Linked DNA regions of Saccharomyces cerevisiae S288C. Each later gene encodes a partner of the first gene's protein in a complex. Each region holds a gene or a part of one and is shown on either strand. Other genes may lie near its edges.

The links.
Region 2: VPS53 (region 1) and VPS54 share a complex: the UniProt entries of both Saccharomyces cerevisiae proteins name them as parts of the golgi-associated retrograde protein (GARP) complex.

Annotation. Positions count from the first base shown.
Region 1 is NC_001142.9:387,885-393,503, reverse strand, and holds VPS53 (Vps53p), read left to right. Parts: upstream 1-2,650; coding exon 2,651-5,119; downstream 5,120-5,619. Other genes in the region: ribonucleotide-diphosphate reductase subunit RNR2, read right to left, coding at 1-1,100; YJL027C (uncharacterized protein), read left to right, coding at 1,255-1,671; YJL028W (uncharacterized protein), read right to left, coding at 1,858-2,193; spindle checkpoint protein MAD2, read right to left, coding at 5,257-5,619. UniProt on the Saccharomyces cerevisiae protein: Involved in retrograde transport from early and late endosomes to late Golgi by linking the vesicle through the t-SNARE TGL1 to the Golgi, leading to the membrane fusion between late Golgi and endosomal vesicles.
Region 2 is NC_001136.10:493,672-499,042, reverse strand, and holds VPS54 (Vps54p), read left to right. Parts: upstream 1-1,724; coding exon 1,725-4,394; downstream 4,395-5,371. Other genes in the region: protein phosphatase regulator REG1, read left to right, coding at 1-1,208; NSI1 (Nsi1p), read left to right, coding at 4,775-5,371. UniProt on the Saccharomyces cerevisiae protein: Involved in retrograde transport from early and late endosomes to late Golgi by linking the vesicle through the t-SNARE TGL1 to the Golgi, leading to the membrane fusion between late Golgi and endosomal vesicles.

The sequences.
Region 1 (5,619 bases):
TTGGTCTTACCGGCCAAGGAGATGTTTTCCATGAAATCGAAGGGGTTTTCGACCTTGTAGTATTTCTTGTTACCGAAAGCAACCAACAGTCTGTCGGCGACGAACTCAACGTATTGGTTCATTAAGTCAGCGTTCATACCTAGCAAAGCAACTGGTAAGGCGTCCAAGAAGTATCTTTGTTCAATTTCCACAGCCTCGGTGACAATTTTTTCAACAATGGCTGGGTCTGGTTTGTTCTTCAAATGGGCGAACAACAAGCATGCAAAGTCGGTGTGCAAACCTTCGTCTCTACAGATCAATTCGTTGGAAAAGGTTAAACCGGGCATCATACCTCTCTTTTTCAACCAGAAAATGGAGGCAAAGGAACCGGAGAAAAAGACACCTTCAATGGAGGCAAAGGCAACTAGTCTTTCACCAAACAAGGCGTCAGCGTCTTGAATCCATCTTAAAGCCCATTCGGCCTTCTCACCGATTTCTGGGATGGTGTGAATGGCATTGAACAAGAATTCACTTTCTTTAGGGTCCTTGATGTAAGTATCGATCAACAAGGAGTAAGTTTCAGAGTGAATATTTTCAATCATGATTTGGAAACCGTAGAAACTCTTTGCCTCTGGAATTTGGACTTCGGTGGAGAAGTTTTCAACCAAGTTTTCATTAACAATACCGTCAGAAGCGGCGAAAAAGGCAAGAACTCTGGAAATGAAAAATCTCTCGTTTTCGTTCATTCTGTTGTTCCAGTCATGGATATCCTTAGACAAATCAATTTCTTCAGCGGTCCAGAAAGAAGCTTCGGCACGCTTGTAGGCTTGCCAGATTTCATGGTACTTGATAGGGAAAAGAACAGTTCTCTCCTTGTCTTCATTCAACAAAGGTTCCTCCTTTTCCATTTCCTTAAGTTTGTGACGGTGAACTTGATGAGATTTCAAGTAAGCCTTGTGATTTTCAGCGTCCTTGCTCAATTTCTCCTTAAGCATGTCTGACTTTACTCTGTTTTCCTCTCTCAATGTCTCCAATTCCTTGTTAAGGTTGGACTTGGAATCTTTGATTTCCAAGTCGGACAATGCATCGGCAGCAGCTTTGGAAGGGGTCTCTTTAGGCATGGTAATTGGACAAATAAATACGTGTATTAAGTTTGGATTCTTTGGTAGATAGCCAATCGAGGGAACAATTAAAAAAAAGAAAGAAATAAAAGACAAGAAGAAGAGCGAAAAAGGGGAAAGTGATGAGGAAAAGAACAATAGATAGATCCAGAAGATGATGGTAACGCGCAAACACTACCGCTATATATACCTACAAAACTCTCATTCTCTCATTTCCTGCTTCGTTCATTTCGAGTTTCCAAGGGTATGGTACGGTGCTATCTGCCCGTGCTTCCCCTCCTTTGCTTTGCTAAGAAAAATTTTCTTTTGTCAGCAGCAACAACACGCTACGCTCTGCGCTGTGCTACGAAGTGGTCTCTGTGGCAACGGGGACATTGTACCCATGCCCGCTCGCAGGGAGGTCTGGGTGTGGGGCGTGTGCGACCTCGTTGCCATGGCGATCGCGCGTGGGTGTGGTCTTTCCCCAAACGGTTGCCCGTTGCTCCGGATTTCGCATAGTTGTCGCGTAAACAAAAAACACGAGAGAGGGCGGACGGCGCTGAATAGTGGAAGATCGCGCGATGTCAAGTAAATAAGCTTGTATTTGTATTTGTATGTGTTTATGTGTTTGTGTGGTTGAGAATTTTATTTTCCTCCTAGTTTTTTCTTTTTTGAGTGCGGAGGGGCAGTGCTCTAAACTTTGCCTGCTTCTTGTTCGACTTCGGCTTCCTATGCAGAACGCAAAATCGCGTGCGCGAGGAACGAGGAAGACAACGCTTTAGATTGGCTTTTTCGTCGCCCATGCCCGTTGCGATAGCGATATGATGAGAAATCGATAAAAGGTTGCACCAGTACACCGCACTTTCTGGCGTGCTTGGATCTGGCTTGCGCGGCCTCGTGCCAGTAAGTAGAAAAGTAGTAATATGGCATGGCGAAAGAGAACAAAACAAGCAAAGCAAGCGTAATGCACAGCTGTGGCTAAAAAAAGAGCACAGAGGTGAAGGGAAAAAAAGATAAAGAAATTAAGGAGGTTGAGAGGGCTTGTGTGTCGATGCTTGGTGAGGCGGGACGTAACGGTTTTTTGTCTGTAGGCACTTCTACCCCACAGGGCCATGAATCTGGCCCGAAACCGTTGCGAGCGTGCCAATTGGTGGTGATATCTTTTTTCTTCCCTTTTTTTTTGTTTTCCGTTCTGTTATGTTCCTTCATCTTGAATTCACTAAAGGGAACAGAAGAAAAAGTTGGATATTAGATAAGCGGTACTTTTCTACAGGTCTAGTATTATTCCTCGGTTGGAACAAGAAATAGTGCTTCAGTAGCTCAGTAGGAAGAGCGTCAGTCTCATAATCTGAAGGTCGAGAGTTCGAACCTCCCCTGGAGCATATTTTTATACGTATATCTTTTTTCCCTCTATTTTGTTTTTTTTTTCTTTGTTTTTTCGTAGCTAGTAAAGAAGAGAAGGAGACCTAAAGTGTATATATACTTAATCTGCGATCATTGAAAAGTCGCTAGCTTATTGTCACTTACTGCATTTTCACAACATCTTCCATTTTTGTTTTCTCAGAAGGACAATGCTGGAAGGTACGGTAGATTATGACCCGCTGGAAGATATTACCAATATACTTTTTTCAAAAGAATCCCTGAACAACATAGATGAACTGATCAGTATTACCAGAAGCTACAAAAAGCAATTGCAAGAGGATATTCTCAAAGAAGAGAATGAATTGAAGGAACACCCTAAAAATTCCGCTGAAATAGAGGCTTCTCTGAGGAAAGTTTTCCAAGATTTCAAAGAAACTCAAGATGTCTCAGCCTCCACCGAGTTGACGATATCGAATCTGACAGAAGGTATCTCGTACCTGGACATTGCCAAGAAAAACCTCACCCACTCTTTGACTCTTTTCCAAAATTTAAAGATATTGACAGACAGTTACATACAATGCAATGAATTACTCTCACAGGGCTCATTCAAAAAAATGGTGTCCCCTTATAAGATAATGTGTTCGCTTGCTGAAAACACATTCATCTCTTACAAATCATTGGACGAGATAAACTATTTGTTGAGCTCCATTTCAAGACTGAAAGGAGACACTTTGTCCAAAATTAAACAAAACTACAATGCGCTCTTTTCCGGCGGCAATATCTCAGAGCATGATACAGCACTCACTATGGAATTGCGCGAAGGTGCCTGCGAGCTACTCGACTGCGATACAAGTACGAGAGCCCAGATGATAGATTGGTGTTTGGACAAACTTCTCTTCGAAATGAAAGAGATATTTAGGGTCGACGATGAAGCCGGATCCCTAGAAAATTTATCGAGAAGATACATTTACTTCAAAAAAATTCTTAATAACTTCAATTCAAAGTTCGCAGACTATTTCTTAAAAGACTGGGAAATGGCAGTCAGATTGACCACCACTTTTTATCACATTACACACAAGGACCTTCAGACACTTCTGAAAAGGGAATTCAAAGACAAGAACCCTTCCATTGATCTATTCATGACAGCATTACAATCGACGCTAGATTTCGAAAAATACATCGACGTACGATTTTCAAAAAAAATTAAGGAACCAAAACTAAGTTCCTGCTTCGAACCTTATTTGACTTTATGGGTGTCTCACCAAAACCAAATGATGGAAAAGAAATTTCTTTCTTATATGAGTGAGCCGAAGTACCCATCTAATGAAACAGAATCTCTCGTGTTACCCTCGAGTGCAGACCTTTTCAGGACATATCGTTCCGTACTGACTCAGACCTTAGAGCTCATTGATAATAATGCCAATGATAGCATATTGACTTCATTGGCAAATTTTTTCAGTAGATGGCTTCAAACTTACTCACAAAAAATTCTTCTTCCTTTACTGCTGCCCGACAATATTGAAGTCCAGGATAAGCTAGAAGCTGCCAAGTATACCGTTTTATTGATCAATACTGCAGATTATTGTGCCACGACTATAGATCAATTGGAGGATAAATTATCTGAATTCAGCGGTAATCGTGAAAAGCTGGCAAACAGTTTTACGAAAACGAAAAATATATACGACGATTTACTAGCAAAAGGAACTTCTTTTCTATTAAACCGTGTCATACCCTTAGATCTAAATTTTGTATGGAGAGAGTTTATCAACAATGATTGGTCAAATGCTGCGATAGAAGATTATAGCAGGTACATGGTAACCCTCAAATCCGTACTTAAAATGCCCGCATTAACAGATGCCTCTATTAAACAACAGCAAGAGCAACCTTCGACTTTGGCATTTATTTTGTCGCAATTCAATAGAGATGTTTATAAGTGGAATTTCTTGGATAAGGTGATTGATATCATCACTACAAATTTTGTAAGCAATACCATCCGCCTTCTGCAGCCCGTTCCACCCTTTTCCCTGGCGGGCAGCAAAAGGAAATTTGAAACCAGAACTGTTGTCAACATTGGCGAGCAGCTTCTCCTTGATTTAGAATTGCTGAAGGAGATTTTTCACACTTTACCAGAAAGTGTAAGTAACGATTCTGACTTGCGAGAAAATACCTCTTATAAGAGGGTGAAAAGACATGCAGACAATAATATAGACCAGCTGCTGAAGTTTATTAAACTTCTAATGGCTCCTCTGGATTCCGCTGATGACTATTACGAGACCTACTCCAAATTGACCAATAATAACCCTGATTCAGCGGTATGGTCTTTTGTCCTCGCTTTAAAGGGCATTCCATGGGACCTGGCATTATGGAAAAAGCTATGGAGTGCCTACAACTTAGAAACAGACGACACTGACGAGGGCAGCAGGCCAGACAGTAATCGCGATCTTTTCATATTCAAGTGGGACAAGGTACTTTTGGGTCAATTTGAAAACAACTTGGCAAGGATGCAAGATCCGAATTGGTCAAAATTTGTGAGGCAAGATCTGAAAATATCACCACCTGTTATGAAGAGGATAGTATCCACCCCTCAAATACAACAACAAAAAGAAGAACAAAAAAAGCAAAGTTTGAGTGTCAAAGACTTCGTTTCTCACTCAAGGTTCTTTAACAGAGGCACTTGAAAAAACGCATGAAGTGGTTTACAGAGGAAGTACGTAGTATAGTATAATATAGTTCATAAATCTATATTCTTTCTAAACATCGAAAACGAGATTTTTTTGGACTTCCGTCTTTTTTTTTTTTTTTGACTTGAATTCTATTAATATTTATAGCTGACCTGCGCACCAACTTTATGATCGTTGGTAGAGAATGTTTTGAATTGAACTACTTCACCATCAGGTATCTCTTTACTATTGGAGTCGGCCCATTCTAACGGAACTTTAGCATCCGCGTCTGTATATGCAAGTACTGTGAATGTGTACCCACCTTCTTTTGTTAGTTCGGGCAGAAAGGTAACGCTTGAGGTGATTTGCCTGATTAAAGCTCTGATTTGTGATTGTGTTGTATTTAAATCTACAACATCATCCTGCCCGTTGCTATTGCCAGAAATGTGTTGCACATTGAAGGACCATCTTTCCACCACCTCTCCCTCATCCTTGTCTACAATACATAATACTAATTG
Region 2 (5,371 bases), on another chromosome or scaffold:
AATCTGATAATGGCGAATTTAATGGGTATGGTAATGCTGTGTCACATAACGTCAATACCTCCAGAGGCTATGATTACATATACGATTATAACTCGGTCTACACTGGTGATACTTCCAGTTTTTTACCAGTAGATTCATGTGACATTGTAGATGTTCCTGAAGGAATGGACTTACAAACAGCCATTGCAGATGATAATGCATCAAACTATGAATTTAACAATGCGGTAGAATCCAAGGAAAAACATGTTCCACAACTACACAAAGCTTCAGCAAATAATACAACACGTCAACATGGATCGCATATGTTATTATATGACGACGACAATTACAGCTCTTCATCAGATAGCGAACAGCAATTTATTGAAGACTCACAATACAATAGTAGCGACGACGAAGAGGAAGAAGATGACGATGACCAAGAAGTAGACGATAACCACGATGAAGGACTTTCACTGAGGAGAACATTGTCACTTGGGAAATCAGGATCTACCAATTCTTTGTACGATCTAGCACAACCATCACTCTCTTCGGCAACTCCTCAACAAAAAAATCCTACTAATTTTACAGGGGGTAAAACTGATGTAGACAAAGATGCACAACTGGCTGTCAGGCCGTATCCGTTGAAGCGCAATTCCTCTTCAGGGAACTTCATATTCAATTCAGATAGTGAAGAAGAGAGTAGCAGCGAGGAGGAACAAAGACCATTACCCGCTAACAGTCAGCTGGTTAATCGAAGCGTATTGAAAGGCAGTGTGACACCAGCAAACATATCATCTCAGAAGAAAAAAGCCCTTCCAAAGCAGCCAAAAGCGTCCGATAGTTCACAAAGCTTTAGAATTGTAAATAATACTCCTTCACCAGCCGAAGTGGGGGCGAGTGATGTTGCCATAGAGGGTTATTTCTCTCCTAGAAATGAATCTATCAAGTCTGTTGTTTCCGGGGGAAATATGATGGACCATCAAGATCACTCAGAAATGGACACTTTGGCAAAAGGATTTGAAAACTGCCATATAAATAATGCTAGTAAGCTAAAGGACAAGAAAGTTGATAGCGTGCAAACCACTAGAAAAGAAGCGTCTTTGACGGATTCGAGTAATGAAAGCTTACACAAAGTGGTGCAGAATGCAAGAGGTATGGCAAGCAAGTACTTGCACTCTTGGAAAAAGAGTGACGTCAAGCCACAAGAAAATGGAAATGACAGCAGTTAGAAGAAAGAATTTTGAAGTCAACATGAAGAGAAAATAAAAATCCAGGTAGTGTGGATCAGTGCCGTCTTTAGGATCCAAGTAAGCTGTAATCGACTGGCATTGTCAAGGACAAATGTAGACAGCGAAGCAGTTATTTTACGTACACAATTAAATTCGCTCCAGATTTCAAAACTTCTTTATACCTTTACAATATTTGGTACTTATGTACAAGAACTTCTTGAGCTTCCATAGTCGTATGTGTGTTCTATATATTAGCAATTAAACGCAGCTGATCTAAGATATGTTCGTGGGTAATGATTTTCAGATAGAGTACAATCAATGTTTTCTTCGATCTTTAAAGGGTTTTTCCTTTATAAAGAAGACACCACACAACAGTCTAGAAAGTAAACAAAACAAACTACGACACGGCTTGTTTTAGGCACAACTTTGTTTTAGGCAGAGCTTACAGTAATTGGCAGTATTGATATCCTAAAGCAGTATTAAAACAATTTAAAGGTTTGGTGAGGTATCTGGCCAATGTCAATAAGCGAAACACCTCATAATAAAAGCCAGGGACTGCAAAAAGCGGCTGGTCGTCCTAAAATTGTTGTTCCTGAGGGATCGCCTTCTCGTAATAGTGATAGTGGCTCTTTTACTATAGAGGGTGATACTTCCCTTAATGACGACTTGTTAAGTATATCTGGCAGTGTCACACCAAGAGCGAGAAGATCTTCGAGATTAAGTCTGGATTCAATAACGCCGCGAAGAAGTTTTGATTCTAGGACACTATCTGTTGCAAATAGTAGATCATTCGGTTTTGAAAATGAAACACATAGTGGGTCCATGGACTTTTCGCCATTGGGAAATAACTCCATCTATGAAATTGTGATGAACACAAGGAGGAAAAACTGGCTCAATTACCCCACTGTTGCTGATATTCCACAAGTTAGCCTAAGCAAAAATGATCTGGATGACCATTGGAAAACTCATGTTATCGAATACGTCAAAAACATTAAAAGTGATTACCAAATATTTCAAAGCACAAATAATATAAGAAACATGAATCAGATGGAACAGTTAAAAGAACTGCGAGAAGGGGAAAATATGCATGAGGAGTCGTTTGAAGCAAATCTGAGGCAAGGGGATGCCGAGCTAATAAATAGTATACCTGACTTTTACTTTTCAGACAAATTTCAATTAGATAACCCTCGAACTTTTCATAAAGTGTTGGACGCTATCGATTTATTTTTAACGAAACTAGACATGAAGAGACAAGCGGAAAGGGATGAGGCTTTTTCTGAGTTGAGGGACAGGCTAAACGATTTTTTGGATATCGTAGAAACATTACTGGTTACAGAGATATCCAAATCCTCACACAAATTTTTTCATGCGCTAAGTGAAGTTGACAATATTCAGAAAAGAGCCTTGGACACAATGAGCGAGCTTAAGGAGCTAGCACAGAATATCAAGACCATTGACGCAGAGAATATAAGAAAAAAAATTTCACATTTAGAAATGATTTTTAAGAGGAAGAATGTAGAGAAACTAGAACAGGGATTATTACAGGCGAAGTTAGTGCTGAACAAAACAGATGAGTGTAAGTCAATGTATGAGGAGAACAAGTTGGATAACTGCTTAGAGCTGATAAAATCCATCGATTATCTGATTAAGGGGGATGATTCAATAAACGAAGATGTTCAGAGTTGGACTAGGTGTTGGCCCTATAAATTAAGCAATTTGAGGACGATACCTGCTTTGTCAGCAACGAGAGAGTTTTTAACCAATATGAAGATTGAAATAGGAGGAAAGTTCAGCCTACAATTATCGATTTTACTAATAGATGATTTAAGATCCTTTTGCAAATCAATCAAACCAAAGGAAACACTACATAGGATACAAACGGGATCTAATGATAAAAAGCAAACTATATTTACTGATAATTTTTCTTCAAAGATAACCGAATTAATAGTCAGATTGAATAGATGCGAAGAATTAACGAGTGCCTTTGACCTATACAGGGAAAAATCTATCACTGAGCTTAAATCTATCATAAAAATTTATTTGCCAACAGAGAATGCACACGCTGACAATAACCACGATGAAAAACATCTTAACAATGGCTCTACTAGTGGGTCTAAACTTTCAAGATTAATAAAGGAGCAAACTCCTGCAGAATTTCAGTCCATGCTAGTAAACATATTCACGCACGCGCTCGAAGCTCTTCGAAGACTTTATGGGCATCAAAAGTTGCTTCTAGATATCTCTCTTAACGAGCTAGCATCTGTTAAAAGTCCAAACGAAAACCAGCACAACATGATTACGCAATTGGATATACGTACTGGCATCAACGAAATAATCAGAATTATTCAGTTACGTACAGGCAAGATCATTGCCGTAAGAAGAGAATTGAACTTATCTCTACGGTATGATTATTTCTTGAAATTTTATGCTATATGCGTTATTTTTATTCAAGAATGTGAAGTATTAAGTGGTGAATTTTTAACGAAATATTTAAGTAATGTTTTAGCATCTCAGATCAAGCATTATGCAAACGCACAAAGTTCAAAAAATTACCGCAACATAAAGAAAAAGATTGATGCTGAAGAATGGATTCCATATATTGTGGACTCCTCTATTCAGAGCGATGTTAACGACATTGTGTCAAGTATAGACATAGACCCATTGAGTTGGACAACTATTTTAGACATGGTAGGGGGTTCTCATGATTGCGAAAATGGCAGAAGCGAGGACAAGGAAAAAGATGAAGGAAATGAAACATATCAAGGTCATAGGAAATCGGTTGTTGTTGGCGATAAAACTTTTGTGGCCAGTAGTTCTCTGCTCGCTACCATTGAGGTTATTAAGGAGCTAATGGTTCTTTCCATAAACCTTCCCTCGATATACTTATCAAATTTCGAGAAGTTGTGCTATGACGCACTACAATACTACAACAGTAGCGCCATGGCATCTGTCACACAACCTGGAAACTCACTTTTAAAAACGGGTAGAAACTTATCTATCATGGGAGAGTCATTGGACTGTCTCGCAGAATTTGTGATTATTGTTCAGAGATTTTATCAAAGGCTTTCCAACTCTAACAGGGATTTTGAGCCATTCGATGCGAGTCATTATACAACCCTGTTGGGGCAATTCCAGGCCTCATCGAATAAAATATACATGGCCAATGCCCCACCTCCGCCTGTATAAACATGATAAAGAAAAATTAGATTTCAAGCTATGTACCATTATTTACTTTTTAAACTAATGAATCATCGATGTTATATTCTCTAAGAAATTCCGCTTTTTTTTTAGAACATTATCTACGTATTATTTTTCCAAACATGAGCGGTGAAGAAATGATCAAACAATGAAGATCGAGCGAGGTCAGAGCTTTCCAAATGCGATAGGAAAGGACTTTTTCCAGCAGCTATGAAAATGTACTTCAAGTATCTCGTCAGTTGCTTTACAACTCATCTCCTGTAATTTCCAACATAGCATCGTTCACGACACAGTTGGCGCTGAACAAATTTTGTGCATAGAGCAAGCAGCCGTTTCTTGTCTGCGTCAAGAAGAAAGATAAAGGTAGAATGGACAGCGTGTCAAACCTTAAGAGCACAAATTTTCAGAACAATAATGACCCAAAAGAATCTGTAGAAGAAGCAGTGCTAAGGTATGTGGGAGTCGACTTGAAGAATCATATTAAAAAGACAAAGAAGAAATTGAAGAAACAGAAGAAGAGAAAGCATGGTTCAAAAATGTCTCATGAAGATGAAGACACTGATATGGATTGGTATTTGAAAACATCGGGTTCAAAAGATTTACGTAAAGTGGATGATATCGAACCAAATTCTGTTGCTGTAGCAGCTGTTGCTGCCGCATACAACAGCTCAATGAGAGAAAAAGATAAGAGGAGCTGTCATAAAAAATCTTCTAATAGTAGATCAGAGAGGAAGAAGCACCGTAAAAGAAAAAGCTCTAAAGAAAGAAAAGCCAAAATAAAAATGGTCCTAGATCCGCAGCTGACTACACTGGACGATGGCATAACGACAACAGCATTTTTACCTGATGATCTCATTGCTGAAACAGCTTTTGATAAGTATGTTGATACTGAAAAGGCATACCTAGCTAAACATCCAAGTAAATCGTTAGAAGTTAATGAGGATGATAAAGAAAACAACTTTAAT